7 linked regions of the Kluyveromyces lactis genome follow. The protein of the gene in region 5 interacts with the protein of the main gene of each other region in a pairwise test. Links are inferred from orthologs where the notes say so. Each region holds a gene or a part of one and is shown on either strand. Other genes may lie near its edges.

Evidence for each region.
Region 1: the proteins of KLLA0_E20879g (region 5) and CDC42 interact in a two-hybrid assay, tested with the Saccharomyces cerevisiae proteins (2 studies listed by BioGRID). The link is inferred for Kluyveromyces lactis from reciprocal best matches to the Saccharomyces cerevisiae genes BOI2 and CDC42.
Region 2: the proteins of KLLA0_E20879g (region 5) and DSE1 interact in binary tests that used the Saccharomyces cerevisiae proteins (3 or more experiments, as listed by UniProt). The link is inferred for Kluyveromyces lactis from reciprocal best matches to the Saccharomyces cerevisiae genes BOI2 and DSE1.
Region 3: the proteins of KLLA0_E20879g (region 5) and NBA1 interact in a two-hybrid assay, tested with the Saccharomyces cerevisiae proteins (2 studies listed by BioGRID, with this or other methods). The link is inferred for Kluyveromyces lactis from reciprocal best matches to the Saccharomyces cerevisiae genes BOI2 and NBA1.
Region 4: the proteins of KLLA0_E20879g (region 5) and KLLA0_F17545g interact in a two-hybrid assay, tested with the Saccharomyces cerevisiae proteins (4 studies listed by BioGRID, with this or other methods). The link is inferred for Kluyveromyces lactis from reciprocal best matches to the Saccharomyces cerevisiae genes BOI2 and EPO1.
Region 6: the proteins of KLLA0_E20879g (region 5) and CDC24 interact in a two-hybrid assay, tested with the Saccharomyces cerevisiae proteins (2 studies listed by BioGRID). The link is inferred for Kluyveromyces lactis from reciprocal best matches to the Saccharomyces cerevisiae genes BOI2 and CDC24.
Region 7: the proteins of KLLA0_E20879g (region 5) and BUD6 interact in a protein complementation assay, tested with the Saccharomyces cerevisiae proteins (3 studies listed by BioGRID, with this or other methods). The link is inferred for Kluyveromyces lactis from reciprocal best matches to the Saccharomyces cerevisiae genes BOI2 and BUD6.

Annotation. Positions count from the first base shown.
Region 1 is NC_006037.1:381,743-384,017, forward strand, and holds CDC42 (Rho family GTPase CDC42), read right to left. Parts: upstream 1,077-2,275; coding exon 501-1,076; downstream 1-500. Other genes in the region: GCD6 (translation initiation factor eIF2B catalytic subunit epsilon), read right to left, coding at 1,533-2,275. UniProt on the Saccharomyces cerevisiae protein: Involved in development of cell polarity during the cell division cycle, and essential for bud emergence. Affects signaling in the pheromone-response pathway through the STE20 protein kinase.
Region 2 is NC_006041.1:1,194,944-1,198,363, forward strand, and holds DSE1 (Dse1p), read right to left. Parts: upstream 2,244-3,420; coding exon 501-2,243; downstream 1-500. Other genes in the region: RSP5 (NEDD4 family E3 ubiquitin-protein ligase), read left to right, coding at 3,190-3,420. UniProt on the Saccharomyces cerevisiae protein: Involved in cell wall metabolism and required for the separation of the mother and daughter cells.
Region 3 is NC_006041.1:1,182,024-1,185,496, forward strand, and holds NBA1 (Nba1p), read right to left. Parts: upstream 2,322-3,473; coding exon 501-2,321; downstream 1-500. Other genes in the region: MTF2 (Mtf2p), read right to left, coding at 1-254; AGC1 (citrin), read right to left, coding at 2,783-3,473.
Region 4 is NC_006042.1:1,609,820-1,614,039, reverse strand, and holds KLLA0_F17545g (uncharacterized protein), read left to right. Parts: upstream 1-1,420; coding exon 1,421-4,201; downstream 4,202-4,220. Other genes in the region: PKR1 (Pkr1p), read left to right, coding at 319-699.
Region 5 is NC_006041.1:1,863,142-1,867,275, reverse strand, and holds the start of KLLA0_E20879g (uncharacterized protein), read left to right. Parts: upstream 1-1,334; coding exon 1,335-4,134. Other genes in the region: KLLA0_E20901g (uncharacterized protein), read left to right, coding at 1-869. UniProt on the Saccharomyces cerevisiae protein: Protein involved in bud formation. Functions redundantly with BOI1 to promote the fusion of secretory vesicles with the plasma membrane at sites of polarized growth. Acts as an abscission inhibitor during cytokinesis in response to chromatin bridges.
Region 6 is NC_006039.1:1,097,198-1,101,404, forward strand, and holds CDC24 (Rho family guanine nucleotide exchange factor CDC24), read left to right. Parts: upstream 1-1,433; coding exon 1,434-3,707; downstream 3,708-4,207. Other genes in the region: retrograde cargo receptor ERV46, read left to right, coding at 1-942; CIR2 (electron-transferring-flavoprotein dehydrogenase), read right to left, coding at 3,932-4,207. UniProt on the Saccharomyces cerevisiae protein: Promotes the exchange of CDC42-bound GDP by GTP. Controls the polarity of calmodulin, and the calcium regulatory process of bud emergence. CDC24 may be involved in the initial selection and organization of the budding site.
Region 7 is NC_006039.1:1,621,553-1,625,340, forward strand, and holds BUD6 (formin-mediated actin nucleation enhancer), read left to right. Parts: upstream 1-1,194; coding exon 1,195-3,288; downstream 3,289-3,788. Other genes in the region: MMS22 (Mms22p), read right to left, coding at 1-897; EST2 (telomerase reverse transcriptase), read right to left, coding at 3,313-3,788.

The sequences.
Region 1 (2,275 bases), on a different chromosome or scaffold from region 5:
ATTTATATAAACTATTGAGCTAAAAGTCAATTAGAAGCCTGAGAGGTTAAATATATCATGAGATAATGAAATCCACACACGAAGAGTAATTTCGTTGAGGTTTTATACTTAAACAAAGCGATACTCCATAGTGTTTAGTTTTTCGCTTCGAACCAGTTTCGTATTTTAGACGGTTTAGAATTCAAACAAAGAACCAAACGTTTGGTACTTCAGTTTGTCTATAGAAATGTCAAAGAGTTATGAAGTAGTTTTGGTAGTTTTAGGATGTTGGTTTAGTGAAATGTAACGCTTTTTCTGGAGATGGGGGGTAGAGCTTTTTTTCTCTTTTGAACCTGCAAAAACTTGGAAACACACTCTCTATCTCACAATCATCTATAAATATAAAACTGGACTTGATGGTGAACGGGAAGATTGTTAAGAACGCTCATCCTTGAGTGAGAAACTTCTTACCTGATACATGTACTGGTAATAAAAAAAAAAAATACAAGGCCGATCACTTTTCACAATATAATACATTTTTTACTCTTTTTAATGACTGGAGGTTCCAGAGCAGCAACAATAGCTTCGTCGAAAACGTTTTTCAAACCACGCTGGGTAAGAGCCGAACATTCAACATATTTTACGGCTCTAAGCTCTCTGGCTAACCTTTCACCTTGCTCTGGAGTGATAGGACGAAGCCTTTGTCTCTGTAGTTTTTCAATAATCACTTTATCATCTCTTAAATCTATCTGAGTACCCACAATCAAACATGGAACACCAGGACAATGATGATGTACTTCTGGGAACCATTTTTCTTTTACGTTCTCAAAAGAAGGAGGAGATATAACACTGAAACAAACCAAGAACACGTCTGTTGATGGGTATGATAACGGTCTTAATCTATCATAATCTTCTTGACCAGCTGTATCGAAAAGACCTAGCGTGTATGGCTCATCGCCAATCATCACCGTAACAGCATAATTGTCGAAAACGGTTGGAACGTAGTCGGCTGGAAACTGGTTAGTTGTGTATGAAATTAGAAGACACGTCTTACCGACAGCACCATCACCTATAACAACACACTTAAGAGTTTGCATGTTTTAAATTCCTTTCTTCCTTGCTTTTATACTACTATCACTGCAGGCCTTTACGGTGTTACTTCCGGCTGACTGTGCTATGTCTAACATCCAATTTGTCTGACTACTCTCCTTCATCACATACATATCTTCGTCCTCCTGTTCTGTTATTTCAATTTTGAAATGGGAATATGTTAATAGATAAGGAAGTTAGGGTAACGTTGTAACGTGACTTGAATTATTTTCAGTCAAACTCTCCCATATAGAATACAGGAAGACCGCATAGGCGGTTGGCAGTCCGGTAGTGAGGACACTAGCCTTGAAATGCGTACGTATATTTGTCTATAGATTACTTTGCATATGGTTATCTCACGTTTACTCGAAATGCTACATGCTACATTATATTGATTGATATTGACCAATCTTGAACTTCGGAGGAACCATGAAAATTCAAAGGGCATTTATGACGTTATTGACTTATTCGTCTTCGTCACTGTCTTCTTCATCAGATGATTCTTCATCTGCAGTCTTTAGCCAGTCCACCCATTTGGCCAGTAGAGCAGTAACTTCGCTGTATTTTGAATCACCGCTTACAGAGTCCCACCATTTGTAAATGACATCTTCCTCTAAGATATCCAAATCATACAAGACATTATATACATGGAATAGAATGAAATCTGGTTTATCGAATTTCTGATCTAGCACACGATCCAGAATGATATTCATTAGATCAATGAACTCATCACTATCAAATGCTTGTCTCTTAAACACAGGACCCCATTGTTGTAAGACTTTAGTGACAGCGTCCTTTGGACCTAGTGTTTGTGTGGCTACAAAGTGGTAAACTCTTCTGAATATAGCGATAACAGAAGCATTCCTGACTTCATGATAAGTGACGTTCATACTCATTCTCAAAGTGTTTAGTTCAAGCATTGATGTGTCTAAATCGTGGTTGTTCTCTATAGCTCTTTCAACTGTTGCGATGGCTTCTTTTTCGAAATCTTCTTCTTCGTCTTCTTCTCCTTCGTAATCAGTATAGATACTAGTCATCGACATGGTTCTCCTCTTTCTATGTTTTTGAGTGATGGATGATATGGAAGTATCCGATAAATAAATGTCATCGTCTCTGTACGTTAATGTGTTCGCAATACCCTTTTCGGTCGATCCATCTTCATCTTCATCCTCATCATCACTTTCGTATAGTACGCCTCTCCCGTTTG
Region 2 (3,420 bases), about 670 kb from region 5:
AATTTAACCCTCCTTACCTATTTGTTGTCCTGTTGTAAGAGCTGAAAAGGCGTTGATCGTCTGGGTTCTCCAATAACAGGCACACACGGATACATTTAACGCTGAGCGTTTTGCTTTTATAATTTTTTTTCCAAGGCAAGAAGGAACCTTTCATATCTTTGTGTCTCTCCCATTCCCATGATCTTTCTCGCTCGGTTCGCATTTATTAGACAAACTTACACCCTTGCTTTAGCTGAGGAGAACTGACAAATTACATGAACATCCAGATATGTAAATAGAAATACATATTCATAATATTTTACTTTACTTTAATATAAATTGTAATTTAGTTTCAAGGAACTTAAATAACGAATTAAGCACTTGAAGAGTATATTTAATCATTGAATTATTTATTAGCTGATAGTAAGTTAAATTTGAAGTGAATGCAATGCAATATAATTTCCACATGGGTAACAGGTTTCAATGAATTGCAGAAGGTGATTGAGGGAGGTGAACGGGTATCATAAGCCTTCGCATACAAATGTGGCATCGCTGCCTCTTCTAATGCCAGACAGAAGAGGGATTGTGGGTATATCGAATGAATGGGTTTTACCGTCAAACATGCTATCTAGTGCAGGCGTCATTGGAGAATGGGCTTCGTATTCCAGAGTATCCTCAGAATCTTCAAACGCAGAATTGCTACTATCCTTGGTTGTTTCATCTGAACTGGAGTAGACCATAGTAGCTGGAGGTTCTGATTTCGTTTCGGTCGACACGGATTCGAGTAGACGTAATGGGTTCCTTGGTGGAGGTAAAACCATTGGCATGTCAACAACCGAGTACGATCTTAGCTCTTGATCTTGCAAGGATATGAAATGAGAGTCTGCTAAGCCGACGAAATGACTCCCTAGATGTTTCTTGTTTCCGATTCTTTCCAGATCTGGAGATTGAATAATGTTACCGTTTTGCACACAGTCCGCTGGTAATCCAAAGCTCTGGATACCATGAGATGGTCTGCAACACATTACTTGGTCGGTGAATTTCAAATCTTTGATATCCCAGGACATTATTAAGCCTTGATCGTCTGTACTATATATTTTCTTCATTTCATTATCGTAATCGAGACTGTTGACATGTCCGTTATGACCCAACAGGTGTGCTCTAACCTTCCCATATCTGATATCCCATATCTTCAATGCCTTTCCGACCGAATTAACGACCGTATATTCATCTAACCATTTGGAAGTATAACATTTGCCAGACTCGGCATTGCTGTCCTGAGGTCCAGGGACACGTATTCCGTTACCATCACCCAAACGAAGATCCAACAATGCAATTCCGGACTGCCCAAATTTCGTTCCTGTCAGAGAAAATGTGAATGGATTGACTGGGTTAACATCAACGTGTTCCAAACCGGGGAAACTGTTCAAGTATAATGGGTCTTTGCACTGTTGGTTCACGTCATAGACAAACAACGAATCGTTAATGACAGAGGTGAAATGATGCTTGTTCCAGGTCTTCAAATGACGAATTGGTTTTGAACGACTTGTGTTATAAATTTGCGTAGCAAGATCAACACTATCCATGCTATCGGTGATCACTTTCAAATGTTTGGAATGATTGAAACGTCTTAGAATTTTGGCGTTCCCATTCTCGATTGAAGTTGCAATTAAGTTCACATATCCATCAGAGTGTCCTGAAAGTAAGATTCTGTCATGGACTTTATCATCGAAGGAAACTACGGTGTCATTATTCTGCGATTGCATGATATCTGTAGCCAGAATAGATTTTCCTGGAACAGTAATGGTTTGTAAACTATGGAGCAATTTCCCACCGCGAGCCTGCTCATTAATTTCATTATTCCGCAATTGGAACAACTGTAAATTATCCGATGTCTGTGATGTGGAAAGTAGAATGGTGTCCCTATCCAATGACATTGAAGTGACGTCCCTAGTGTCTTCTGACAGTTTCCAACAATCTGTCTTCAATTTTTTCGTGACAATGACATCGTTCAAATCACCACTAACCTTCCTTAGCAAGGAACTGTTCAATTTCGAAGCCTCTATCTTGCAATTCCGCCTGACAATAGTACTGTTCTCGTCATCGCTAATATCTCTTCTACTCTTCTTGACGATGATGGCGTTCTGTCTGAATATCTCTGGAGCCCTGTAGAATTCAGTCATAATTTTCGCAATATACAGTTTCTTATTTGACTTTGTGTAATGTTTGCACTGCAGAGAATAATTGATTGTTAACAGGTACATCCATTAGAGGAGTAAGAGCTGGTCACTTTTAGAAACGACATGTTTATATATGATACAGGGCAAATAAAAATAGCACTAGCAAACACTGAGCCAATCAAAAATAGGACCAAACGCAGAACAAGCAACAAAAATTAGAGAAAGGCACGTTACCTATTGAGTGTGTTAGGCAGCCATATGAGCAAACATCCTGTTTATGTTTGCAAGAGGTTTGTTTACCTGTAAACAAACCCAGCATCTTTAAAGCTGGCAAAGGCTTGTTTATATTTATGTCATTTTGGACGATATGATTTTTGTCACGTGATGCCCATAATCGTCCCATATGCACGTCATCTGACAGCAATACGGCAGATTCTTGCAACCTGGTGGCTACCACCGCCATTAATGCCGTTTCCGAATTTACTGACATACTCGGCGTAGCCTGGTATCCCTCTTTAGTACTCTTTTTCCAGGTTTCAATCTCCTCACGTGACAAGTAAAGGAGAAAAGAAAATTGTGATTTGCATATTTTAATTAAGGAAACAAAACAAGAACAAAGATACTTTACTTGCAAACAACATCCGATTTAATCATCAGATCAAGGTGCTAGAGGATAAGCAAACGTGCATTGACAGTGGCAAAAAGGACGGTACGGAAAAGGGTATTGAGCAAGGTATTGATCTGATTTTTCTTTGCTTCTTTTTAGAGGAATCATCAACTTTTTTTCTGGTTCTGTTTCCTGTTCTGTTTCTTTGCAATTACGACAATTAAAGAAGACAAAAGACAAAAAATAAAACCTTATAGGCTTTCTCGGGCGGTTTTATTTGTTTAATAATTATTGCTGTTACTACCACTTATCAGATATCTAGTGTTTGAAGACTTTTCAATTTGTTATTGAGATTCCACTTTGAAGGAGAAATTATCGGATTTGAAATTGACAAACCATTAAAAAAATAAAAAGCTGCGAAATATGTCTATCTCTGTGAAACTAGTGGCTGCTGAGTCATTGAACAGGAGGGATGTGTTTAGATCTCCTGATCCGTTTGCAGTTTTGACTATCGATGGTTCTCAGACGAAATCCACAGCGGCTGCAAAGAAGACGTTGAATCCCTACTGGAATGAAGTATTTCAATTCAAAAATGTGAGTGAAAATTCGATCTTAACTGTTCAAGTGTTTGATCAGAAAAAGTTCAAGAAGAAA
Region 3 (3,473 bases), about 680 kb from region 5:
ACGATCTGTTTATTGAAAAACACTGGATTCAATAACCTGTTCATCGCCTCTTTATCCGGGTTCTTTTTCTGTTTGATCTCTTCTATCACCTCAGAAATGGTATTATGTTCTTCAATAGCATCTGCGGTGCTGCTGACATGCTTCTGCCCCAGTTTACAGCTCTGTGAAAGTAGTCTTCTTGTGGCTCTTGTTGTTACATTATGGAGATGAGCTTTAAATAAAAGAGATGAGTTCATTCTGGCAGCATTCAACATATCGTAAACCACCTCTGTCCTTAGATTGGCTCCTTATACAAGCTTAAACGACTGGTATCAACACTGTGAGAGACAATAGATTGAACCGTAGGCATCTTTTGCAACGTCTTTTATTAATCAAAGCCAGTGTTTCCTTCTTTGATTTAAGAATTTTTCTTTCAATACTTATTACATTTGGTATATATTGATTCTTTACTGATAACGTTAATACAAAACTGAGAAGAGAAAAAGCACAAAAAATTCGTATCAAAACCCATCAAGGGCTTTAGTAGCTCTTTCAAGTCTTCTTAAACCTTCTTGGTACTTTTCTGGATCCAGAACCATATCTGCAGTCAATCTAGAGAGAGAATCGACCAATCTTTCAAGAGCTCTTTTCTCTTCGATCTTCATACCAAGGTTAGAGAATTCTGACCCTATCAGGGTTCCCTTTGTAACATTCAATAGTTGTGAGATAGTATCTATATCGAAGGATCTTAGTTCTTTGTTGTGTTTGGATCCGATTTTTTTGGTTTGATTGTGGCTTTGGTTTTGGCCTTGACGTTGGTGAGATTTGGATCTGGTCTTCGAATGGCCTTTCTTGGGAGCCTTTGGCAGCTTACTTTGTGGAGTCCTTACTGATGAGGCAGCTTTAGTGGAATCAGCACCTTTCTCTACTATGTCCTCGTAATCATCATCATCTTCTGGATCTTTTACATTGCACACTGCCTGGTCATTCGGTTGTTGTGTGATTTGGTTCTCTGGGGTCTCCAATCTTGACGATGATGAGCTTGGAATAGAAGGTAGTGGCCTAGTAGTGTATCCATCCTCCTGTGGTCCCATGGTATCATCTTGCTCAGTAGCAGAGAAGAAACTTTCAGATCTCACACTGCTTTGTCTTGAATGTCTCTCACTCCGGCTTGCACTGGCACTGTGACCTTTCCCCATCTCCTTTGCAAGTTGATTCTGAATATCATCTAAACTTTCCTTGATAAATATATGTGACTTGGGCCTTCTTGCGCTTCTTGGTGGTACTGTTGGATGTAAGTCTGATATGATTTCAAGTTCTGGTTCAGCACCAGCGGTCTTCTTACTGTTAACTTGAGTTTCTAGTGGTGGTAATATACTCGAAGCAATTGATTTGATTTCGGATACCTGAGATATATCTTGCTGGCTTGGAGCCTGTGATATGTTTAGTGGTGTAGTGTCCGAAATTGCTTCTGTGACATTGACCTTGGGGATGTTATTATAATCAGAAACTGGAGTTTGTTGTTGCTCATCGTACGATTCCTCTTTAATTGTCGTCGTTTCAAGTTGAGATAGATGTTGACAGTCACCACTGTTACCAGTAGCACCATATTGCGAGGTATGGTCCAAATTTACCATGCTGGATCCCGAATTACTTGTGGCAGATGCGTTATAGGAATGTCCACTTTCGCTTGCTAGATTACCTGATGCGATTGATGAAGGGACCTTCTGATGGGACATCTCCATAGATACAAGTTTTAATGAGTTGTTTTTCTCTAAAGTAGGAGTCGTATCTGTTTCAGCTGGTTGCCCAATCTGTTCTTTCTTTAACGAAACCTGAGGTTCTTCCGTATCAATAGAGTTTCCTACTGGTTTTGTTGTTAATTCAGACAATGCATCTGCTGATGCAGCTGACCATTCGCTCTTAGTAGGGAAGGGCGGTAAAGCTGGCTCTTCAAAATTCTCCTTCTTCACAGCGGTAGTACTGTTATTTTTGACTATATAGGAGACTGGAACACCTTCATGGACAGTGCCTGAATAAGCCGATATTATGCTTTCTCTGTTTCCTGGCGATTGACCGTTTAATTGTAAACGATTCCCATCTGGAGAAGGCTGAGGGGACCCATACGTATTGAAGAATGCCACATTTTGATCGTTAGATGTATATGACAATTGTGGAGATGCCCTTTCAGCAGAATCTATTCCCTTGCTTGGCATATATATTTCATCATCCAAACTCTCATGTAAGCTGTAATTCTCGATCATAGCAGAAAGTCTGTTGTAATTAGGGTTGTTGCTAGCGCTTGGTGGCCTAACTGCACTCTCCAATGGCTCTTTACTCATTGTATTTGTCCAAGATAGTGCTTCTGGTTGTAGTATTTCCCTTCTTTCCAGATCAACTGTTATTGATACCTGGGATAGTATCCTCTAAAATAGACTTGTTTCCAAAGAATTCCCTCAACAACAAGCAATTTCAAAAATAAATGTATCTACCTCAATAAGTAGATGGTTGTTAGTTGCTACAATTACTATACTGGGTTGACAAACCTCTAACCTGCGTTTAGATCAAAGATTCTTACAGTCAGTAAGGTGTTGATGTTTTGATTTCACTGTTGATCTGAATTCCAGATCAGGAAAGATAGTAAACACTTAGTATTTGAAGGTCAGGTGACAAGAATTGAAGAAAATGGAAGTAGACAATAAATAGGTGTTTACATTAGTACCGCACCTTGATGCGCGTGTGTATACAATGATATAAATGCATACGTATTAAATAGTGTTTCGAACTTAGTTCATAATGTACATTAGTTGCTCTTAGGGCCAATTCGTTTCAATTCATCTTGGAACTTTCTGTAAACATTAAAATCGAACTTGGCAAAGTTGTAATCGAGGTCTATGAAAACTTTTGATATTTGACAGCTCTTGTAGTAGTAATTGAGGAAATTACTGGAGTATGGGTCCACTGATGGACCATAGAATTCTATCGGAACTGGTTCATGGCTGTAATGATTATTTTTGAAATTTTTGTAGAAGGTTGTGAACAAACCAGTGACGATGGGTGTATCATCCTCTACGTCGGAATGCTTTTTGGGTCCGCCAAAAGAGCTTGAGTTATTGTTGCTGTCGTTGTTACTGTTTGTTTCATGGTTCTTGAAATGCGATGGGAATAACCCTTGGAACATTTCAAATGCTGCCAAGGTGAAACCGAACTGTGGGGAACTTCTCAACACACGAGCCGGTCCACCTTTGAAAAATGATTTGATGCTTTCCTCTTTCAAGATCGTTCTTGCTGCATGGATTACACCTGTATACGTTGTTTCTCCCTTCCTGGGATCGATTTGTAATCTGGTCTTAATCACATCAAAAGGAGTGGTCAAATAAGCTGCTGGCATACCTGCGATCCCACCAGCCAAGAGGAGTTCCCAGGTTTTGAGTTTGTTTCTCTTGTTTTTATCATTTGGATCAAAATTAAATACATCCTTCTTTAAATGAGCA
Region 4 (4,220 bases), on a different chromosome or scaffold from region 5:
ACTTCATTATTCCTCTGTTATCGGTCTGTAAATTATAAGTTTGACATACATAATCTGTATCTTAAAATCTCTATATTAAAGTTTTAAAAGTAAAATTCTTCTATACATATACATACGTTTGCCAGTGACATAACATAATACACCCGGCTCGATCAGAATAGGAAGTCGTCATTTCATACTTACAAGCTTGTTCACTTGCATTCTGGCTATACCTTGCTGATTTCTACTCCAGGCTCATCATCGATTTCTAGTACAGCATATTATAATCCTCCGTTGCCAACCACTATAAAAAACGAAATTCACCTGAGACACTCAAGAATGACTAACTTTGTTGTTGCACTGTGGGAAAGCATTTTCCAACCAGGAACATCGCCTCAATTGATCATTGCTACTCATATCTCGTTTGCACTATTGCTTTGCGTGTTGGGATCGCAGATCTATTTAACCAAAAATATCCATTTCATCGCATTAACGATTATCGCCACTCTACTATGGATCACCGTGACGTGGTTCATCTACGAATTACAAAACACAAAGCTTGTTACCAACGAAGATCTACAAACAGCTGAATCTAAAAAGACTGATAAGACTGAGCCTTCCAAGCCCTCTGAAGAGATAAATCTAGAGGGTGTTGCGAAACCTGATCCTAAACCATCATCTACACCTAAAAAAAGGAAAACAAAATCAAGAAGAGCTTAAGCTGGTGATAAACCATTCTCTCACCTGAGCAACTTTCTGATTAGACTACATTGGACAGTAAGTAAAATCATTTTTAAACGCAATAACCACTGCATAGACTTGTAACATTTGGGAACCATATAAAATTTAATTCAAATACAAAGGTTGCAGAAGCCATTATTTCGTCAGATTACTACGATCTATTATATACAACGTTGTGTAAAGGCACATCCTAAATAGCTGCCTTCCGTTTCCTTTTTCACTCTTCGTTATTGTTTCATGCATAATCCATACATTTCATGTTCGCTCGGAACTTCTATGGCATTCAGATTTCGTTTTGAGAAAAAAAAAAAAATATGAACGGAAAGTAAATGAATCTTAGGTCTGTTCAAACAATTTAGGAATCAGTTTGAGTTTTGGACTTAGTCACTATTAATAGGTTGTATTTCCTTTTATCTATTCTCTTTCTAGTACAGTCATTTAGCCTAGGTTCTGGCAGAATTTATAATCCAGAGGAACCAATCCACAGTACGAGTGTAATTGACTTATTCCCTACCGATTTTGGAACGCTTCTTTGGTACATCAGGACTTTTGATAACAACTTAGAGGTAAGTCCTTAGATTGTTTGTTTGTCATTGTTAAAGGAACTTTTCTATACGTAAGTGCAGCTCATTTTACAACTAGCCATCTTTTCGTTTCTTGTAGGTTGTGCTTTATTTCTAACCTTTTCTGATCGTGGAATATGGATGCCGGTGTTACTGCGCTTGATCAACGACGTGGAGCGGGCATGTCTTCCAAGGCCCAGCTGCGGAACCAGTTACTTCACAGCGATATAGGGAATATTGATATTACTAAGGAGCAGCAGATAAACAAGCAGAAGGGAAATACAGGCCCCATGGCCCCACCTGTAGTTCCGTTACAAGCCCAGCAGTACGAGTCCAATTACAACCCTTCGTCATATAATTACATGCAACAGCCTCGACAACAATCTCTGCAGATGCAACCAAGACCACATTTTGATTACCCAGGAGACAGTAGTAGGAAATCATCCATGAGTTCTTCTACTGCTTCCTTCTCTAATTTCTTCAAGGGTAAATACAAGAAACTCAATCAAAAGAGACACAGTCAATATGACGAAAAAGCTAATGAGGATGACGATAATACAGACTTTTCGGATCATGATTCCTCTTTCCTTACATTCAATGATATTTCTTCCATGAGAAACAATGGTGGGCACGCATACGGTTACGGTGGACATCTAGATGATACCTCTCCAATAATACCGACCATCGTGACTTCCGGAAACACAAACTCAATGAACAATATAGAATATAGAAAACTTATGATGAATCAAAAGAAAATGGCATTTAACAGTCTTGCGAAGCAGCAGCAGCAGCAAGCGCAGTTCAGTGCCTCAGTTCCAGGTGGTCCTAGAACAATGTCCTTGCAAAATTATCATCAACGTCCTATGGTAAGGCCTGGTGTTTCTGGCCCGGGAACAATGATGGGTCCAGCAGGCCCTCAGCAATCAAGAATCCCTAGGCCTCCAAACGGTAGCAGATTCAACTCTTTGATGGGAGGGGGGGCTTCGCCGATGGCTGGTAGACCAGGGTATCCTCCCCAACAAGGTCCTCCAAATGACCCACGCACAATGTCGTTAACTGCTGACAGACGTCCACCAACTCAAATGAACGGAAATTCACAGTTTAGAAACGGTTATCAAGGTCCGTATGCCGCGTCACCAACAGGATCCCGTAACATGGGTTTTCCTGGTCAAGTTAATGGACCAGTGCCGGCAAGAGGTCCACCTGTTACTGGTAGCTCCCAATATGGTCCAAACTCTGGTCCAAGAGCCATGTCCCTGCAAACTCAATCGTATCCGCAACCATTTTATCAACCAAAACAAAATGTATCGCAGGATAATGTATTCAATGAAAGACAAGCAACAAGCTCATTAGCCCCTCCGCCACAACCACAGCAGCTGGTGAATAAGGCGGCATCGGGCTCATCCTCTTCATATGCCAGTGTGAATAGCGTCATTTCTGGTAGGGTTTCTGAACAAAGTTCTCCGACAACTCCCTCGAACGCATCATTCGATGAACAAAATCAGATACCATCACTGCCAAGATCACCGGTGAAATACCAACTACATGCCACTTTGTCGAATGATAATGAGGACTTTGAAAAAGACAAGGCTCTTCCTAGCTTTAACGAGGAAGAAGAAGATCAACAAACCTACAGCGGGAATAAGGATCATTCACATAGCGATGAGCAATATGATTCTGATTCATTGGTGAAATTGAATATATTAACGTTAAGTGAACCCGCAAGACAAGTGTTGCAGATCGAGGAGGAAAAAACGGAAAAGGAATACGACCTAGTGGATTCCTCGGAAACGAAAAGCAACCAGCAAGATTCTTTGAATGATGACATAAATCTCAGGCCATCCACCGCCTTGATACAAAATATTCCCGTGGATCTATCACCAATATTAAATCCTGAAATCTCGGACAACTCTTCCAGTCGAAACTTTGGCGACAACGTCAATAGAACTGAATCAATTGTATCAAAAGCCCATGCGGCGGTCGACAGTGGGAATAGTAATACTAACGAAGTACTACAATCAAAACATGATTCCTATATCGCATGTTCTGGTGAAAAAGGCTTGAAGAAATCAGGCAGCAGTTTCCAGAAAGCGAAGAACTTTTTGATGAAGATCAAAAGGACGAAGAGTGGCGATCAAAGACCGCTCACTACTGTACCTTCGTCCGCTAGAAGCAGCAGGAGTTCGATGGCAGTAGATGAAGGATCCGAAATCCAGTTAAATGATACTTTCAGGGCGAAATCGGGTGCATCCAGCGATAAACGTAGAATATCATATCATTCTCTTTTTTCCGCGTCATCTGCTGGTAATCACCACGACCAATATAGTAATAAGGAAAAGACATTTGACAGATCAACTTTGCAAATTCGTAAGTCGATGATTATTGGTGAAAGCACAGAGATACAGGAAGTGCCTTGTCTTGAGAAAGAATATGTAAAACAGAAGGCTGAACCTATTTCCGCGTTGCCATATAAGCCATCTTTTGCTTCTGAAAAGGATCCCAAACAACCCCTGTTGATCACTGAAGAGTATTTGAATATTTTGAAACAAAATATGATGTTGATGCAAGAGCTACAATTGGTTTCCACGGAATTAGCCGAGTCTATCGCAAGGGAAGGTAGATTAGAAAGTGAATTAGAATCAAAGAATCCGAAGGAACCAGAGTCACCTCAGGCTCTTTCTCTACTGGATTTCGAAACGGAATTAAGGAAAAAATCGTCAAAGATTGTTGAGTTGATTCAAAATTTGAACGAAGAAAGGCTCAAACGTTTCATTGCAGAAGAACAGAATTTATTATACCAACATGGTATAAAGCCATCTCCTAACGAACTCGCCCTTCAAATAAATGAGCTGAAGACGCAACTGCAGTCCAAAGATCTACTGATAGAACAGTTGCAGAAGCAAGTACATGATTCTTGAAGCAAAATGAAAAGAATCC
Region 5 (4,134 bases):
CATTAGATAAATATACGTGGGACCTATGGATATATCACCATGGCAGTGATTTTCCTGTGGAGAACGTTCCTTTGAAGATTAATGTGATCAAGACTTTGAGCCAAACGCTTGATGATTATTCACGTCGAAGTGACTCTCAATTCGTGGAAGTTATTGCACGTACACTTCAGTATCTAAACAAGTTGGTACAGGCGTCATTACTGAGTGGTGTTCAGCCGCAAATGATGACACCCAGTCTTTCTATGGGCCCACCGCTGAGGAAACCCGGATATCAGGATAGAGAGACTGTTCATCGCTCTATATTGAACTCCAAACGCAGACCAAGTGCTAACGGAAGCGATTCAGCATCTATAATTAGTGCGAAAAGTTCGGGAAACAAGAGTATAGCTTCGACGAAGTCAAAGAGAAGCATTTTCCAAAAAATGAAAGGTATGTCACGTTGGTCTCAACACATTTCAAGCGAAAACAATCCAGACCATAAAGGCAGAGCATCAAGTTCAATTAGCCCCTTTAACCGACAATCGTCATCAATCCCAAATATGAATGGTTCTGTTAATTCCAGCTCATCTCGAGGTACCAATACCCCATCTAATAGAAAGAGTTCTTTTTCTACTAATTCATCTGATGCGACCTTTTTGAACAATAACAAGACACACTTCAGAAAGCAAGACTTATCAGGAATGCCCGAATACATCTCGTGGGTACAAAAACTTACATTTCAGGTCCTACAGCTGCCCCAAACCTCACAGAATGATATCATTTTCTCTTTCATCAACAAATGCATAATCCCATTCATATTAAATGACGGACATTTACTTCAAATACAAATTATACAGAAAAACGTTATCTCAGCTTTCCTCAGCGCTTGATATGGCGGTCATATAGTTGGACAATAAATGATAGTACTATGTATTTTAGACCCGTAATTAAGGATGAATCACCAACGGTAACATGAAGAACCAGTCGTTAGGTATCGGTCGCAAGTCCGGGTAACGAGCATTCGCTATTTGGGAACAGAATGGAAATTTGGAAGCAAGACGTGGACTTTTAAAGAAACAAACATTAGAAAGTAAGTTGCACTTCGTAAAAAACCAAAACATAAGAACCATCAAGGGTCGTAGTATAGTCTGGTCACCGAAAGTGCTCAAAATTGTGGTAAGAGGTTTGCTAACGTGGACGAATTATATATTGGTGCAAATAGAGCAGTTTCGTTTTGTTTTTTTTCCATTTTCCTCATAGTTTATACGTTTCATCTCAACAATTCGCTGGACTTCATTTAGAGCATCTCAGCCGTATCATACCGTTCGAGTTCCAGAAATACCTACAAAATCAGTATGGCATCTAATAAAGTACCTAAGCTAACCCATATAGATACCACTAATTTACGGAGTACCAGTGGAGGCGTGCCATCTGTTGGAGAAACACCCTTAGGTGCAGGGTTTCAGCCGCAGAAAACATTCCCGTTGTTTATTTGTATCACCGAGTACAGTAAGCGTATGGATGACGAACTAGATATGAGGCCTGGAGACAAGATTCAAGTGGTCACCGATGATGGGTCGTATAACGATGGTTGGTATTTTGGTAAGAATCTAAGAACACAAGAAGAAGGCCTGTATCCCAAAGTTTTCACTCAAGTCATTGCTATGGAACGCAAACCAGCCCTGATGAGGGCAAAAAGCTCCAAGAGAATCGCAAGTCCGTTTGCCTCTGGAAGCAATACAAATCTTTCATACCCGTCCCAGGATGGGTCCACCAGTGAGCTACCTACCCCTCAGCCGTTAGAAACTGCACAACCCGCAACTTATAGGAAATTTGATAATATCAAAGCGCCCAACTCAGACATGATAAAAGTTCCTGTGGATAGGAACATATCAATGAAAAGCACAATGAGTGATATAGATAAGGCACTTGAAGAGTTAAGGGGTGACTCTTTCCCCTCTGGAACTGATTCCATCGATTATGATCAAAGACCTGGGTTGAAAAGACTTGTTTCAGGTTCATCATTAGATTTCACCAAAAGTAATAGCCTGGCTTCTACTGGAACCAACGAATTACGCCCAGAAAATGTGAAGAATTGGGTTCCGGAACAGGTTACAGCTTACCTCATCTCATTGGGATTCGATGTGGAATCAGCATCGAGGTTCCAAAAGCATAAAATTTCAGGTACAATTCTTTTGGAACTAGAATTAGCGCATTTGAAGGAATTGGAGATAAACTCGTTTGGAACTCGTTTTGAGATCTTTAAAGAAATTGAGGCTTTGAAGGAAATATCGACCCAGAATGGCACTTCTGCCAATAACAGGAATAGTTTGATGCCCGCTGCATCATTCAAACAAAATGCTGGGATAACGATAACCTCACCTTCTAACCATGATATTCCAACGTATCGAGGCCACCTAAGGAAAACATCACAATCTATGGAGGAACTAAATTCAAATTCGACTCCAACTCCAAAGAACTTCGTAACCCCATCGTCTGGAACACACACCAAAAGCTCTCAGAAACCTAGACCAGCATCCTTGCTATTTACTAATGAAACTACTAAAGCTCCGGATATTTCAGAAGATGTGTTCGCGTCGCCTAGACGTGCCCCAAAGCCTCCTTCATACCCATCACCAGTCCAGCCTCCAAAATCACCTATGGTTAGTGCTTCTAGTTCTGGCTCTGGCGGTAGGTTCTTGTCACCTCAACCTAACGCAATGTCCAGTGCTCAAACTTCCAAATACGCACATCCCACGATATATGAACAAGTGGCAGATGGTAAAGCAAAGGCAAAGGAGGAAAAATCGAGGGAGGATGAGATTCACGACCAGTTCGAATTTCCTCCTAAAAGGAAGCAGGGTCCAACTTCTAGTACCCCTAGCCTTCCAAACCCATATTTCAAGGAAACACAATCTATCGAACGAAACCCAAGTCCAACTGAGCAAGTTTCAGAGAATCGCGGTAGTGTAGTCTACTCCGGACATGTCAAAACCAAATCAGGCGGATCCTTCGTCGAACTGTTTAACAGGATATCAATGCTGTCGGAAAATACAGAAAATAAACAGGCCGATCGTGAATCTGATGCAGAAACTGGTGTTAATATGGAAAGACCTTCTTCTAGTGTATACGGGCATTCCAGAGCTACCTCATACTCTACCAATCATGGTAGAAAACCTTCCCAAGCCAACTCAGAAAGAAGGCATAGAAGGAATTCTTCTCTGCTGTCATTTTTCAAAGAGAAGGATGAGCATGCCGAGACAGATACTGCACATACTAAAACATCAAGAAGGACGTCGGTTTCTCATAGCAGGAAGAATTCATTTGTTAGTCCCTTCAACACTATTGATAACGGTACGCCTAGTCAAAGACATTCGATGATGCTAAGTACATCTCCTATTAAAGACCTTCCAAACCCCCAAACTCGAAAAGAAGCTAAGAGACGCTCTGTTAGCGCTAAAGAACCTGCCTCGGATGTATTTTATGACGCGAAAGATACTTTATACGAACCGGATGTTAATCAAAATAGGTCTGTGAGTGAATCAACTAAACCGAGAACAGCTCGCGGTACGAGCTCGAAAAATGTCGGAAAACAAAGAACTACCGCATTCACGGAAGGTATCCGTAGTATTACTATATCCGAAGCTATGCGTGAAGCAGATTGTTCAGGTTGGATGAGTAAGAAGGGTACTGGTGCTATGGGTGTTTGGAAAAATAGATTCTTTACGTTGCATGGTACCAGATTGTCGTACTTTGCCAATACAACCGAAAATAGAGAACGTGGATTGATTGATATAACCGCTCATAGAGTGTTGCCAGCAAAAGAAGATGACAAATTTGTTTCTCTCTATGCTGCTAGCACTGGTAAAGGGCGTTATTGCTTTAAATTGGTTCCTCCTCAACCTGGCTCCAAGAAAGGTCTAACGTTTACTCAGCCTCGTGTACATTACTTCGCAGTAGACACCAAAGAGGAGATGAGAGCATGGATAGCAGCTCTTATCAAAGCTACCATTGACATTGACACTTCAGTTCCTATTATCAGTTCATGTGCGACGCCTACCGTTTCATTAACAAAAGCTCAGGAAATGCTGTCCCAAGCGCGTGAAGAAACTAGACTGAGAGAGCAGCAAAGGTCACTGAATGAACATGACGAAG
Region 6 (4,207 bases), on a different chromosome or scaffold from region 5:
GAATTTCAGATTAACCTATTAGATTCGGGATTCACGAAGATCAGAATTAGCCCAGAAGGGAAGGAACTCTCTAAGGAGAAGTTCCAAGTTGGTGACAAATCATCAAAGCAAAGCTTCAACGAAGAAGGATACTGTGGACCATGTTATGGTGCATTAGACCAATCAAAGAATGACGAGCTACCACAAGATCAAAAAGTATGCTGTCAAACTTGTGACGATGTGCGTGCAGCCTACGGACAAAAAGGATGGGCATTCAAGGATGGTAAAGGTGTGGAACAATGTGAACGTGAAGGATATGTTGAGAGCATCAATGCCAGAATACATGAAGGTTGTCGTGTTCAAGGACGTGCTCAATTAAACAGAATACAAGGTACCATCCACTTCGGTCCAGGTAGTTCAATGCGTAATATCCGTGGCCATTTCCACGACACTTCGCTATACGATGCATACCCACATTTGAACTTCAACCATATAATCAACACCTTGACGTTTGGAGAGAAACCCAAGGATGGAGACAGCGAATTGATCGGTTCTGCTTCAATTTCACCATTAGACAGCCGCCAAGTGTTCCCAGACCGCGACACACACTTCCATGAGTTCTCATACTTCTGCAAGATCATTCCTACCAGATTCGAATTCTTAGATGGTAAAAAAGTTGAAACTACTCAATTCAGCGCCACGTACCACGATAGGCCTCTAAGAGGGGGCAGGGACGAAGACCATCCAAACACTGTTCATTCTAAAGGAGGTGTCCCAGGTGTTTTCTTCAATTTTGAGATGTCGCCTTTAAAAGTCATAAATAAAGAACAGCATGCAACATCATGGTCTGGTTTCCTTTTGAATTGTATCACAAGTATTGGTGGTGTCTTGGCAGTTGGTACTGTCATTGACAAAATCACATACAGAGCACAAAAATCTATTTGGGGTAAGAAGAGCTCTTAAGCAAAGATAGATAGAAAGAGAAATTGTACTACTGTTCTATAAAAGTACATATATAGAAGTTATGTGTGAGTTTGACACTTGTAATTCTTATTTTCCAGTTATAGAACGAAACTCTAGCGTATATCAATATTCAATGCCAGATATGTAGGATTATTACACGACACCTGGCAAGTGCCGCTAATTGGTGTTATACTCTTAAATACCACTGAGAAGTATCTCCTATATAAAAAGAACCTCCAGAATTTGATCCACAACAATGTTTTCGGGCCCCAAAGGTTTTGACCCAGAGATCTCAGTATTGACATTACTCTTGAAAGAAAAAAAAAAAAAGAATAGAATAAAACAATACTGAAATTAACGAAACAGCCAGTGTCTTCGAAGTGAAGTTAAAATAATTCTTATCGTTGTAAGTCTTCCAGAGCTGTACAAACAAGGTTTTTACTATCTAGGAGTGTCAGAGAATAATTCTGTTTTAGTTGCAGCCTGCCATAATGGCGGTAAATCCATCAGTATCCAATGTTTCGCTGACGAGTGTGCGTTCAAATAGCACACATTTATTAATGAACAAAAAGGTGACAGCACAGGAGTCATTATATCATATGTGTTTAATGATCAAGAAGAGATTAGAGTTTCTGCCACAGCTCCAACCATATTTGAATTTAGCGCATTCGAGTTCAGAGATTCTAGCAGAACACCAAGCCCTGCTTTTATCGCAGAAACAGCAGTCACAGCAGCAACATCGGCAGCGAGGTTCGCATTACGAAGGTAGTAGTGCACAAAGTACAAATGGTAGACTTTCCTCCTCAAGTACTCTTCATAGGGACTCTAGTTTCTCGGCTACGAGTTTTGGAGAGGACTCTGAGCATTCTCAGTCCTTTAATATGGAGGACACTTTACTGACTTTTTCTGTTGGTATTACGCCTATATCTGTCGATTGTGACCCTGTAACGCAACTTTCTAAACTATTTCAACAGGGTTCGCCACTTTGTATTATATTCAATGCCGTAAGACCTCAATCTAAGCTAACGGTGGTCTCGTCAGATGATATTAAGATTTGTAAAAAATCTATCTACGACTTCATTCTTGGTCTGAAACAACATTTTGCATTTAATGACGAAGAACTGTTCACCATTTCTGACGTTTTTTCAAATTCGACAGATCATTTCTTGAAAGTTTTGGACGTTGTGAATACGTTGCTGAATGCTGCACCTGAAGTATTCCCACAAATTGATATGAGCACACAGTTGGAATCTCAACGTCTTGCGAAACCACAGACAGAATATGATAAAATTGTCAAAGAATTCATCGAGACTGAGAGAAAGTACGTGCATGATCTAGAAGTTCTGAATAAGTATAGGAAGCAACTTTTAGACAACCAAATTATCAACTCGGAAGAACTGTACATGCTGTTCCCCAATTTGAATGACATAATCGATTTCCAAAGACGGTTTTTAGTGTCATTAGAAGTCAACGGTCAAGTTCCATCTCAAAAACAAAGAATCGGGGCCTTATTCATGCATTCCAAATATTTCTTCAAGCTATATGAACCTTGGTCCATAGGTCAAAATGCAGCGATTGATTTCATTTCGTCTAGTTTCAACAAAATGAACCCAAATAGCACTAATTTTGTCATCGGTAATAAAATGGAACTGCAATCATTCCTTCTCAAACCAGTCCAAAGATTGTGTAGATACCCATTACTTCTCAAAGATCTTTTACAACACGCAGAAAGTGATTCTAAAGAATTGGAGATTGCCTTGGGTATTGCCAAATCCATTGCAAGGAATATTAACGAAAATCAAAGGAGAACAGAAAATTACGAGGTTGTCAAACGTCTCTATGGTCGTGTGGTAAATTGGAAGGGTTACCGCATCGCTAAGTTTGGTGAGTTATTGTACTTTGATAGAATATCAATATCAACGAGCAATTCCAATGAGCCAGAAAAAGATTTTGAAGTGTATCTATTCGAAAAAATCATACTATTATTCAGTGAGGTAAGCCAGAAGAAAGGAAGCTCAATAAGTTTAAAAAAGAAATCGAATTCATCATCTGTTCTTCATCTTTCAAACTCTTCGAACACTAACATGAATGATTTCACGAAGAACACTGGGAAACTGGATTTAAGAGGTCGAATTATGATAGTTAACCTGACTCAAGTCGCTCCGATTGATAACTATTCCCTGAACATTATTTGGGAATCAGCCAAGGAAAAGGGGAACTTCATACTAAAATTCAAAAATGAAGAAACCCGCAACAACTGGGAAAGCTGCCTTCATCAGCTTCTTCGTCAAATTCGCAGCGAGTCCTATAAAAGTGTCAATACGAATAGCGATATGTCGTCATTCTCCTCACCAGTCCAATATTCTCACAACAGTGTTGCCTCCATTGGTAGCACTCTGACCAGACAAATCTCAGAAGTCCTTCCCAAAAGCCATATGTCCAATGCCCGTCAGTCATTTGCAAGCGAATACAGATCTATATCCGAAAGTTACAAAAATTCAATCCCTGACACTATGCTTCTACTGAGGGTCTCATTCAACAACGATTTTTACACAGTCTTAGTATCCTTAGACTGTTCTGCGGAAGATCTGTTGCTTGCGATTAAAAGGAAATTGGCACATTTAGGAGTAATCACGAAGGTAAAATACCAGGATGAAGATGGTGATTTTGTGATGTTGGAAAGTGATGATGATTGGTATGTTGTAAAAGATATGCTGAAAGAGAGTAATGAAAGACTATTGAACGTTTGGGCTTATACAAACTGAGACATATTAATAATATTTTACCTTTGATTGTATTATACATAGATTTCACTTTTTGGCGTTTTTCAAAGGTAAATGAAGACAATTCCAGTTTGACAGGTTCACTTGGTTGATTTAATATAAGTTCAGTTATTAATGAAAATCATATTTTACAGATATGAATAAATAAATTATATTAGATAAATAAATATTTCAGGCCAAATTTTACTCTGACTAATTTAACAAACTCAGGTAAGTGTGTACTTTGGACCATCACCTCCCTCAGGAACTTCCCAATTAATGTCCTGAGTTGGAACCTTGATGTCACAGGTTTTACAATGAATACAATTTTGTGAGTTAATCTGGAATTTCACACCCAATGGGGAGGTTTCGTCTTCAACATACTCATAAACACCAGCTGGACAAAATCTTGATTCGATTCCCTTCCATTTTGGATACGCAATACTAGTATGTTTTTCCATATCTTGCTCAGGGACTCTTAAATGGCATTTTTCGTCATCATC
Region 7 (3,788 bases), on a different chromosome or scaffold from region 5:
TTTTGAGTCTTCCATTGAATCTTGCTCATTCTGTAGCCGTAGATATGTTTCCGGGAATCCAACTTCAATTTCAGCATCCGATTCTATTAATTCGTTTACAAGGTTGTCGTCTCTGGAATTAAACGTTCTACGAGATATTTTTCTCTTGGCTAAACCTTTACTCCGTGAATTTTCATCGTAGTGGTTATTTTTATTTCTTCCTTGTCTATTACTTTCAACTGTATTGTTATCAAGTGCTTTCTTCCACGCCATTTTGGGTAATACACCTTTGTATCCTGTTCTGATATTGACTTGCCTTCCTCTAAAAACAACGTTATCATCATAGGATAAACTGGATCTATCAAACTGATTCGAGTCACTTTCCGAATGACACTCGTCACGAATTTCATCGCTGTCTAGTTCAGCATTACCATATACCTCATCATCATCATCATCATCTGAAATATGGAAATGGTGATGCCTTCGAAGCCTTGTTGACGCAATAGTCGAGTGTTCTTGCTGTGAAAGGCCGCCCTTCACAGGACTCGAATTGAGCACGCCCCCATTGTCCGTATTAACAGTAATATCTTGCCGGGAACCACTCGGCAGATTGATATGATCTGCTAGAGATTCGAAATTAGATACATCGTACCCTTGCAATAACTGCCGATGCCGTATTCTATCCAAACTATACGGCATCTTCTGGATTGCTTTACGCTTTCTCAATGCACGTCTTATACTATTAGAGTAAACTCCAATATCAGGAGGTGTCTGTGCTACGTTATCGAGACTGCCCGGAATGACGCGTACCTGGTATTCGTCATCGAAGATTGGAAATACATTTGGTTCCGAATGCAGAGGTATTACGATCTCTTCATCACTAGCCTCCGAATTGGGGACTACAGAGTCCTGATTCATCCCACAGAAACCACGCTATATGTCATACGCGGTAACACGTCTCTGTTGGTTGCTTAGCTTCTGAAATGGTAAGTTTCCATACTTTCCTGTTTCATTATCTCGGCCTAACTTCAGGAAATTACGTTTCTTGATATTTATCAACAAAAGATTTATGCAAACCAAATCAAACCTAAAGCTTTTTGATCTAGTAATGCTTTGAAGAAACATACCGTTTAAAAAGTGTACGTTGGATTTCCTAGCTAGTAGTTAGGTGTGTGGAAGCAGTAGGGTGAGGTACGTAAGGTGTGTCTGATAAAGATGGAAACACCACCACCAATTTCTAAATCAGCATCATCTGTGGAAACTAGTGTGACGAAACTATTGATTTCAACTAAACAACTATTACAAATTCTGACGCAATGGTCCAAGGGCAAAGTTACCGAGCGTAATGTTTCCGATGTGTATGTTCAATTGGGTAATGATTTCAAGTTAGTCAGTAGACATTTTACCCATGCTAGAATTGATATTTCGGATCTTGGCGATGTGCCAAAAGACCTTCGAAGAATATTGGAGGTGGCATTGAGAGAGACTGCATCTGAGGAAACGTTGAATAAATACCTACCGCAGATCAGAGATATTATAGTTAAACTCTTGGAGAAACTTAAGGTTAAACAGGCGATGATAAAACTGAGCAGGAATGAAGATGCTTTGAAATATCAGCATACTCCTCAAAGATCTTCCGTTTCATCCGTAGTCAGCGCAACGACATCTTTGGCTGGCGCGGGACCGACATCTACTTCAGCTCATATTGAAACAAAACAGATACCTACGTTAGAAGTTCCCAAGGGTTCTGAAAGCGATGCGTTAACTCAATTGAAAAAGGGAAATAATCTGCAAAGAAGAGCCTCGAAGAGGTTTTCAGCGTATCATATGGCGAAATTAGCCAACCAAACAGCTTCAGATCCATCGAATTCCCCAACGTCTAAAAATTTAGCAGTTCCAGCCGCTGCTGCAGCGGCAGCAGCGGCCAATGTTTCTGATACAGAAAGCATTAAAATGGAAAGACAGCCTTCTCGAATCTCTTCTGCTTCATCCGTAGATTATCATCCCATGACAGGAGCACCAGAACCAAAAGGTGATAACTCAAGCATAGATGAAATTGTTGTCTTTTTGAAGATCGGTGAGAAGGTGAAACGATGTGTAACTAGTTCTCACCTCTCTTTCAACAAGCTTAGACTTTTATTTGTTGAGAAATTTGCATATTCCCCAGGAGGTGATGTATTCCCTGACATATATGTGAAGGAACCCAAATACGAGGCATTTTACGAACTTGAAGAGAGTCACCTACATGGTATAATAGATGGGAGCGTATTCCAATTACAGGTACAATCATCGTCTCTAGATGAACAGTTCCGCCAACTTCAAGATGGTTTATTAGAAAAGCAAGATACAATTTTTCAAAATTTGAAAGAGATTATCCAAAATAGTACTCACGTATCGTCACCAGATTATTCAAGTGGTCCAAAATCCTCAGATTCTGCAACAGTTATACATGAGGATCATCGTAAAGAAGTTGCTCATATTAGGCACGAAATTACCGTTTTAAAACAGATACATAGCGACCAAAAGAGATCGCTTCAAAATACTATAAACGCTATCGTGGAAAAACTACAGAAATTCCAGAGCCTTTCAATAACTACAGGAAAGTCAGCTAATCGCGATTATATGGAAAAGTCCCAGTCGAAGTTATCCGAAGTTTCTGATAATCTTTTGAGTAAAGTTGACGATCTTCAAGATGTCATTGAGGCATTACGTAAAGATGTGGCCATTAGAGGTGCGAGAACACCCAAGAAGAAGATTGAAAATGTATCGTCTGAATTAGACTCCGCTAAGAAGGATTTGGATCAAATGAGAAATTATATAGATGTCGAAAAGCCAAATTGGAAAACTATTTGGGAAGCGGAATTAGATAGGGTGTGTGAAGAGCAACAGTTCATGACATTGCAAGAAGATCTCGTATTTGATTTACAAGAAGACTTGAATAAGGTTATGGAGACATTTGATTTGGTTAAATTGTGCTGCGAACAACAGGAAAAGGCCCCAAAGAAGAATAAGGGAAACCCCATTCTTCCGATAGCCAAGCCAGGCACATATAATATGATCCGCGATCAAGTCTTGACTGAAGTTCAGAATCTCAACCCAGATCATGACAGTAGAGTGGAAGCCATTAAAAAGGCAGAAAAACTAAGAAACAGAGAGAAAGAGTACAAGGAAAATGAAGCCTTTGAAGATGAGTTGGGCAATTTCGTTGAGAAAGGTAACTTCAAAAAGGCCGGTGGCATTGAGGAGATAGAACGCCTAAGAAAACAAAAAGACGAAGAAAATCTGCGTGTTAATTTTGGTCTGATATAGGTACAATAATTTTAAGTAATAGCATTAAAACTCTATTAATAGTTTCAAATCGCTGACATTTGTCAAAATGTCTGCAAATGCGTTCTTCCTTAATTTTAATTGTTCAAGGAAAACTGACAACACCAGTTCTTTTGACGCGACGGACTTTTCCATCGAGAACATATTAGCTGAAGAGAGGTTAAGATCAATTCGCTGAAAAATGTTGAAAACAAATTGTTTGAAAGATCTTCTGCTGCTTTTCTTCCTATTAAAAAGGACAATGAACGATTGAATTACATTTAACGCAACTTCTCTCAGGAACCTTGCAGCCGTTTCCCAAGAATTTAAGCGCTCGTCCAGCATATTATAAGATAGTCTCATCTCAAAGATCCAGAGTAATTTATTATACAGTTGCTTAGATGATCCCAAAACTGTTCCTAGGACATTATACGATGAGCGGTCTTTCCAAACTTCTAGGGTTCTTAGATTTAACTGCAGTGCACAAAAAGGTACATTTGTTG